Callithrix jacchus: one gene and its partner. The protein of the gene in region 1 interacts with the protein of each later gene in a biochemical or structural test. Links are inferred from orthologs where the notes say so. Each region holds a gene or a part of one and is shown in the gene's direction. Other genes may lie near its edges.

Region 1 (3,910 bases):
CTCTTCTTTGCAGTTACTCTTAGCTATGACTTGGCATCATTTCATTTCATGGGAGTTTTGATTTTTTTCCCCCAATTGTGTGATTTGGAGATTTTAACATACACCATTTGTTGATTAAAAAAAAAAAAAAATTAGAAGGAGCATACTTGCCAGGAAATTTAAATGGAAATAAACTTGTTTGTTAAATTGAAATGTTTTTAGCTAGCTTTGTAATAAAAATCATTTAATTGCCCTTTTTGTAAAAAACAAATGAAAGTTGAATGAATCTAATTTGTGTACTTTAATGAAAAATGAAAAGTTTTCTCAGTGTTGTGATTTTCTGTGAATTGCAGTTGAATGGCGGTGGGGACGTAGCAATGCTTGAACTTACAGGACAGAATTTCACTCCAAATTTACGAGTGTGGTTTGGGGATGTAGAAGCTGAAACTATGTACAGGTACTTGATAAAACTTTTTACATCATCCAGAGGTTGTGAGGGGTGTGGGTACAGGAGAGTCTTTGTCCTGGCATTGATTACAATGTATTAAACAACCTTGCCTTAAGTCTCATTTTAAAAATGTAGTTTGCTTTTTTAAAGTGCTTTTAAGTGATTTATATTTCCTCCTCAGGTGTGGGGAAAGTATGCTCTGTGTCGTCCCAGACATTTCTGCATTCCGAGAAGGTTGGAGATGGGTCAGGCAACCAGTCCAGGTTCCAGTAACTTTGGTCCGAAATGATGGAATCATTTATTCCACCAGCCTTACCTTTACCTACACACCAGAACCAGGGCCACGGCCACACTGCAGCGCAGCAGGAGCAATCCTTCGAGCCAATTCAAGCCAGGTGCCCCCTAATGAATCAAACACAAACAGCGAGGGAAGTTACACAAACGCCAGCACAAATTCAACCAGTGTCACATCATCCACAGCAACAGTGGTATCCTAACTACCGTCTTTTTGCTAGGACTTAAATTGACTTGAGTGTGGCAAACAGTTGACAAAAAAGGAGAAAAAAAATGAACAATCTTTTGTGGTTTCTTGGGAAAACTTTTCATACCAAGTGATACTATTCAGAACCCCATTATCTGTCTACAAGTGCTGATTTGAAATGCAGAAGCCACAGTAAAACAAAACAAAACATCAAAATGTACAAACTATTGGAAATCAAGTTTTCAGCAGTTTTGTTGGTTGGTTGGTTGGTTTTTCTTTGGTTTTGTTTAAATGGGCAAGAAGTAAATAATGTGGCTGGAATACAAGTTGAACAAACTAGAAGACACAAATCTAACATAGTTTTTATGGACCAAGGAACTTGTATATTGTATAAGCTTTAGTAAAAGGTACATTTTCACCATACCTTTTTTTATATCACGGTATTATAGTACACCTTGTTACCAAATAGGTTGTTCTCTTCCCCGCCCACCTTTGAGCTTTTGCTCTAAAATACATTCGGGTTCCTAGCCTGACCTTGTTTAATCTAATTATCATACTCTTCCAGGTTTTTTTTTTTTTTTGATCTAAGGCTGGAACTTTTTCTTTTCTTTTTTTTTTTTTTTCGGCTGAAGTCTTACGACTCTTCGTGAGTCAAAATTGTTTGGATTTCAGCAAGTCAAATCTTGTAAAGGCCTACATATTTTTTTTTAAGATTATATGAAGTCTGTGCAAAAGCTTTAAAAAAATGCCTCTGCCTTGCCTGCAATACATGCAATGTATGTTAACTTAGTCTCTCTTCTCAGACACTGTTGGTAGTTACTTCTGTGTTTGCCTTTAAAAAAAAAGGATTTATAATGGTTGTCCAAGAGGTTCTAACATTCACATGCAATTTGGTGTGGCCATTTAGCCATTAATGAGTTAATGGCACAGAACATGTTGATATTTGAAGTATTATTTCCCCTTTTCCCATAACGTAAATACATACGTGTGTTCCAGGATTTGTTCAGGTTTCCCCCTCCTAATCTTGTACATAACTTGTATTATGTGTAAGTTAAACATTTTATTTTGAACTTGGAATGTTCCCAGTGATTTCATTCAGCAGGGTATTTTCTGCCTTGTTGGCAAGTGACAAAAAATATGAGAAGTATTTGCTACCAGTTGGTAGATGGTGCCCTTATGGTAGAATGAGGAAAATGTCAGCAAAAGCATGTTTTATTATCTTTACTTTTTGGGGGGGTTGGAGGGGTAGCCTAGGCCAGAAGATCATTGTAATCTTAAAACATAAGATGCTTTTATTAGATGATCAACTAAAATAGCTGGAAGACAGTACTTTAGAGACAAATAGTTGTAAGATTATAAAATGCAAATGTAACTTATGTTTTCACTTCTTTCTCTGCCTTTTTTTGTTTGTTTTCTCTTTTCTAATACTGAGCATCTCCGCAAATGTCTCCTAACTCAGAAAATGTTTCTTTTCTTTTCAGCTGAGATTTGGTTGCATTCAGGGTTGTATGTTGGCCTTGCATGCTAAACTCGCCAGTTTTACCTCGCTTTCATTCCTGAACGTTGGTTATACTTTTGTTTGGTTTCTTTGAAATTGCAGCAGACTCGTTGGGCTGTATTTAGTACAGGAACCATGTGTGTAATGTTTATGACACAGTCTCGTAATACAATCATCCTTCTTAGAGTAAAAACTACCTCTAGATTGTGGTAAGCTTTTACTGTCCCATAAAACAGGAGCCACAGTACCTTTTGAATGCAAAACTGTAACTTCCTTCAGCGTTTCTGTACAGAACATTGTCTTTCTGGTGTCTTGGGCTGTTTTGAAAAAGTTTTCATTAATAGACTTTTTAGAAATTATTAGTAGTATCATTTTTTCTTCAGCTTTGCTGTCTTCACACTCACTCTTTGCTCGGACTATGCCACTGTAAATACTCTTCCTGACATCTTTAAATCGCCTTTTCCTCGGTTTTCAAGGGGAAAGTCATTCGTAAAGCACGTTAGGTGGTTAAATCAGTTATTGCGGTTTTCTCTTACTGCAAGCCTTTTTAATCACCCCCCGGGCTGTATTTTATTCTATATCGCCTTTTTTCTTCAGATCTGCTCCAGTCACTCGCTTCTCTATTATAAGCTAATCCTGCCTCACACCTTAAATCTGTTTCAGTGATCAAGGGCAGAACTCATTGTGGCCTTATCTTTCTTTGTCGTAACTGTTCACCGTCTCTTACTTACAGACCGCTTACTTCTGAGTAGTAGTTCTTCCTCTCTGTGGAGTCATGGCAGGAGTCATTACGCAGTGCTTTTGTTCAGAGCATGAACATGTTCCTAGTGCTGCTTTTCTTTTAACGGCCACAAGTTTCCTCCACTTCCTCGGTTTGGTATTTAGTTAAGGAATCATATTAAATTAACCAATAACAGAAGAGATACTTTTGAAGAACAAACTCTTCCTTACCCAGCTTTGTAGCTCAAGAATAATTTTTCAAGTTCATGACTTTCTTAAAATGAACTTGTGCTTTTTTAACAAACATTTATGTCTCATTTTGTTTTCTTTCAATAAGATAATTGAAATATTAGATTGTAAACCCCTTTCTCTTTTTTTTGAAAAGTCCAAGAATGTACTTACACAGGCATTTTTCCCCACTTATTTTTGGCCATTCTCATACCACAGACTAGAGTGAAATGATTTGTCTATTGTAGCTTATTGTTCATCAGTAGTTCTTTTGTCAGCTGCTTAAAATCTTTTTCCATGGCTTTGTGAATCATTTTCAGTATATAATTTATAGGAACCTTGTCCTCTGGTTATAGTAGACTGTGCCCCTCCTCCAGTGATGGCATTATTAGACATGCTAGTCATTTACCCTCAGAAAGACTCTCTTCTTAGAATGGTGAGTGCTTCAGTTATAGTATGTTTGAATTTTTAATAATTCCGTCTTAGAAATGTATCTTAATGCTCTCATGACTCTATGCAATTTCTAAACATTCACGTAGAAGCTGAGTCTCTGATC
Region 2 (4,972 bases), on another chromosome or scaffold:
GTTGATCCAGACAAGGAACCAGAGAAAGAAGAGGTGTCTGCCTCTGGGCCGTCCTCAGAAGCAACGCAGTTGGCCAAGCAGATGGAGCTGGAGCAGGCTGTGGAGCACATCGCAAAGCTCGCTGAGGCCTCTGCCTCTGCTGCTTACAAGGCAGATGCACCAGAGGGCCTTGCTTCAGAGGACAGGGACAAGCCTGCACACCAAGCAAGTGAAACAGAGCTGGCTGCGGCCATTGGCTCCATCATCAATGACATTTCTGGGGAGCCAGAAAACTTCCCGGCAGCACCTCCACCTTATCCTGGAGAATCCCAGACAGATCTGCAGCCCCAAGCGCAGGCGCTGCAGCCTTCTGAGGAAGGAATAGAGACCAATGACGCTGTGTCTGGCATCCTGGAAACTGAGGCTGCTACAGAATCTTCTGGGCTACCAGTCAATGCTCCTGGCCCCTCAGCAGGCCCAGCAGATACCAAGGAATCCAGAGGAAAGAGCAGTGAAACCTCACACTTGGTGCCGGAAGCCAAAGGGTCCAAAGAAGTGGAAGTTGCTCTTGTTCGGAAAGAGAAAGGGCGCCAGAAGACAACTCGATCACGCCGTAAACGGAACACAAACAGGAAAGTGGTGGCTCCTGTAGAGAGCCGTGTCCCTGAATCTGACCAAGCTCAAGGTGAGAGTCCTGCTACAAATGAGGGGACGACAGTACAGCACCCTGAAGCCCCACAGGAGGAAAAGCAGAGTGAAAAACCCCATTCCACTCCTCCTCAGTCATGTACTTCCAACCCAGGCAAGACTCCGTCTACAGAGAATTTGTCCCAAGAAATCAGTGTTGAGGAAAGGACTCCAACCAAAGCATCTGTGCCCCCAGACCTTCCCCCAATGCCCCAGCCAGTGCCAGTGGATGAGGAGCCTCAAGCCAGATTCAGGGTGCATTCCATCATTGAAAGTGACCCGGTGACTCCACCCAGTGACCCAAGCATGCCCATACCCACGCTGCCTTCTGTAACTGCAGCAAAGCTCTCACCTCCTGTTGCCTCGGGGGGGATCCCACACCAGAGCCCGCCTACTAAGGTGACAGAGTGGATCACAAGGCAGGAAGAGCCACGGGCTCAATCCACCCCATCTCCAGCTCTTCCCCCAGACACAAAGGCTTCTGACATCGACACCAGCTCCAGCACCCTGAGGAAGATTCTCATGGACCCCAAGTATGTGTCTGCCACAGGTGTTACTTCCACGAGTGTCACCACGGCCATTGCAGAGCCTGTCAGTGCTGCCCCTTGTCTACAGGAGGCTCTGCCCCCTCCAGTTGAATCTAAAAAGGCTTTAGAAGAAAAAACAGCAGCTCCAGTGACTAACAACTCTGAGACACAAGCCTCGGAGGTGCTGGTAGCTGCTGACAAGGAAAAGGTGGCTCCAGTCATTGCTCCCAAAATTACTTCTGTTATTAGCCGGATGCCTGTCAGCATCGATCTAGAAAATTCACAGAAGATAACCCTGGCAAAACCAGCTCCTCAAACCCTCACTGGCCTGGTGAGTGCCCTCACTGGCTTGGTGAATGTCTCCTTGGTCCCAGTGAATGCCCTGAAAGGCCCTGTGAAGGGCTCAGTAACCACACTGAAAAGTTTGGTGAGCACCCCTGCTGGGCCTGTGAATGTCCTGAAGGGGCCCGTGAATGTTCTTACGGGGCCAGTGAATGTTCTCACCACTCCAGTGAATGCCACGGTGGGCACAGTGAACGCCACTCCAGGCACAGTCAATGCCGCTGCGGGTGCAGTGAATGCCACAGCAAGTGCAGTGACCGTCACAGCGGGTGCAGTTACTGCTGCATCTGGTGGTGTGACAGCCACAACAGGCACAGTGACAATGGCAGGGGCAGTGATTGCACCATCAGCAAAGTGCAAACAGAGAGTGAATGCTAATGAAAACAGTCGGTTCCACCCAGGGTCCATGGCTGTGATCGACGATCGTCCGGCAGACGCAGGCTCAGGGACGGGGCTGCGTGTGAACACTTCCGAAGGGGTTGTGCTCCTGAGTTACTCAGGGCAGAAGACTGAAGGCCCACAGCGGATCAGTGCCAAGATCAGTCAGATCCCCCCAGCCAGTGCAATGGACATTGAATTTCAGCAGTCGGTGTCTAAGTCCCAGGTCAAACCTGATTCTGTCACGGCATCACAGCCTCCACTCAAAGGCCCTCAAGCTCCTGCAGGCTATGCGAATGTGGCCACCCACTCCACACTGGTACTGACCGCCCAGACATATAACGCCTCTCCTGTGATTTCATCTGTGAAGGCCGATAGGCCATCCTTAGAGAAGCCCGAGCCCATTCACCTCTCGGTGTCCACACCTGTCACTCAGGGAGGCACAGTGAAGGTTCTCACCCAGGGCATCAACACGCCCCCTGTGCTGGTTCACAACCAGCTGGTCCTCACCCCAAGCATTGTCACCACGAACAAAAAGCTTGCTGACCCCGTCACCCTTAAAATCGAGACCAAGGTCCTTCAGCCGGCCAACCTGGGGTCCACGCTCACACCCCACCACCCTCCTGCTCTGCCCAGCAAACTGCCTACAGAAGTGAACCACATCCCCTCGGGGCCCAGCATCCCAGCAGATCGAACTGTCTCGCATTTGACAGCTGCAAAGCTAGATGCTCATTCTCCTCGACCCAGCGGACCCGGGCCATCCCCATTCCCAAGGGCAAGCCACCCTAGCAGTACTACATCCACTGCACTCTCCACCAACGCCACGGTCATGCTGGCCGCAGGCATTCCAGTGCCCCAGTTCATCTCCAGCATCCACCCAGAGCAGTCTGTCATCATGCCACCCCACAGCATCACCCAGACTGTGTCCCTGAGCCACCTGTCCCAGGGTGAGGTGAGAATGAACACTCCCACGCTGCCCAGCATCACCTACAGCATCCGGCCAGAAGCGCTTCATTCTCCTCGGGCTCCACTGCAGCCCCAGCAAATAGAGGTCAGGGCCCCACAGCGTGCCAGCACCCCACAGCCAGCCCCAGCTGGTGTGCCTGCACTGGCCTCCCAGCACCCTCCTGAGGAGGAAGTGCATTACCACCTTCCCGTCGCTCGAGCCACAGCCCCTGTTCAGTCAGAAGTCCTGGTCATGCAGTCTGAGTACCGGCTGCATCCCTATACCGTGCCTCGGGATGTGAGGATCATGGTGCATCCACATGTGACGGCAGTCAGTGAGCAGCCCAGGGCCACGGATGGGGTGGTGAAGGTGCCACCAGCCAGCAAGGCCCCTCAACAGCCTGGGAAGGAAGCTGCCAAGACACCAGATGCCAAAGCTGCCCCCACTCCCAGCCCTGCCCCCACCCCCACCCCTGTCCCCGTCCCCGTCCCTGTCCCTGTCCCTGTCCCTGTCCCTGCTCCTGCCCCTGCCCCTGCCCCTCCTCCTGCCCCTGCTCCTCATGGTGAGGCCCGTATCCTCACAGTCACCCCCAGCAACCAACTCCAGGGGCTGCCTCTGACCCCCCCTGTGGTGGTGACCCACGGGGTGCAGATTGTGCACTCCAGTGGGGAGCTGTTTCAAGAATACAGGTACGGCGACATCCGCACCTACCACACCCCGGCCCAGCTCACACACACTCAATTTCCTGCTGCTGCTTCTGTTGGCCTGCCTTCGAGGACCAAGACAGCTGCTCAGGTGAGTGAGCCAGGGGTCTCCCCACTGTCTTCTGGGCATATGCCAGTGGGATTCAGCAGGCTTTGAAGCAGAGATGTGTTAAGGAAATCAGGGCTAGGTGTAGTGGCTCGTGCCTGTAATCTCAACACTGTGGGAGGCCCAGACAGAAGGACTGCTTGAGCCCAGGAGTTCGAGACTAGCCTGGGCAACATGGCAAAACCCCATCTCTACAAAAAAAAAAAAAAAATACAAAAATTAGCTGGGGGCAGTGGCACACATCTGTGGTCTCAGCTACTTGGGAGGCTGAGGTGGGAGAATCACTTGAGCCCTGGAGGCAGAGGTTGCATTGAACCAAGATTATGCCACTACACTCCAGCCTGGGTGACAGAGCGAGACCTGCCCAGTCTCAAAAAAAAGAAAGAAAAAAAAATCAGGCTGGGCATCTGGGCGTAGTGGCTCCCGCCTGTAATCCCAGCACTTTGGGAGACTGAGGCCAGTGGATCACTTGAGGTCAGGAGTTCAGCCTGGCCAACACGGTGAAACTGTCCATACTTAAAAGTCCACCTTTTGGTAAAGATAGTGGGTGAGTACAAGTGAATTGGTCAGCTATCCCTAAAGATGATCTTTTCATGAGTTTAAAGAGCTTTCTTAGTTCTGAGATGAAAGGATTAGATCAGATCATGTCATGGGGAGCTCTGCATATTGGGAGGGAGCTCTTCTTACTCTGAGAGCAGCTCCATTGATTCAGGCTCCTTCTGCGGGCCTGACTTGACAGGAGATGCCACATCTGACCCTTTCCCTGTGGCCCTTTGGGTCATTTGTTGGGCGCAGGGGTTTGTGCACAACAGACTGACTCTGTCCCTTTGCCTTCCTTCCTGACCCCAGGGCCCTCCTGAAGGTGAGCCCCTGCAGCCTCCTCAGCCTGTGCAGTCCACACAGCCTGCCCAGCCCGCACCACCCTGCCCACCCTCCCAACTCAGCCAGCCCGGCCAGCCACCAAGCAGCAAGATGCCTCAGGTGTCCCAGGAGGCAAAAGGGACCCAGACAGGAGTAGAGCAGCCTCGCCTCTCAGCTGGACCTGCAAACAGGCCACCTGAACCTCATGCCCAGGTTCAGAGGGCACAAGTGGAAACAGGCCCCACTTCCTACCCCTCCCCCGTGTCTGTCTCCATGAAGCCTGACCTTCCAGTCCCTCTTCCTGCTCAGACTGCCCCAAAACAGACATTGTTTGTCCCAACAACCTCTGGCCCCAGCACCCCACCAGGATTGGTTCTGCCACACACTGAGTTCCAACCAACCCCCAAACAAGATTCCTCTCCACACCTGACTTCCCAGAGAC

Evidence for each region. The genes of interacting proteins can lie anywhere in the genome.
Region 2: the proteins of RBPJ (region 1) and SPEN form a complex in vitro, tested with the Homo sapiens proteins (2 studies listed by BioGRID and IntAct). The link is inferred for Callithrix jacchus from reciprocal best matches to the Homo sapiens genes RBPJ and SPEN.

What each region holds. Positions count from the first base shown.
Region 1 is NC_133504.1:167,408,748-167,412,657, reverse strand, and holds part of RBPJ (recombining binding protein suppressor of hairless), read left to right. Parts: intron 1-332; coding exon 333-436; intron 437-608; coding exon 609-924; 3' UTR 925-3,910. UniProt on the Homo sapiens protein: Transcriptional regulator that plays a central role in Notch signaling, a signaling pathway involved in cell-cell communication that regulates a broad spectrum of cell-fate determinations.
Region 2 is NC_133508.1:53,273,300-53,278,271, forward strand, and holds part of SPEN (msx2-interacting protein), read left to right. Parts: coding exon 1-3,654; intron 3,655-4,518; coding exon 4,519-4,972. UniProt on the Homo sapiens protein: May serve as a nuclear matrix platform that organizes and integrates transcriptional responses. In osteoblasts, supports transcription activation: synergizes with RUNX2 to enhance FGFR2-mediated activation of the osteocalcin FGF-responsive element (OCFRE).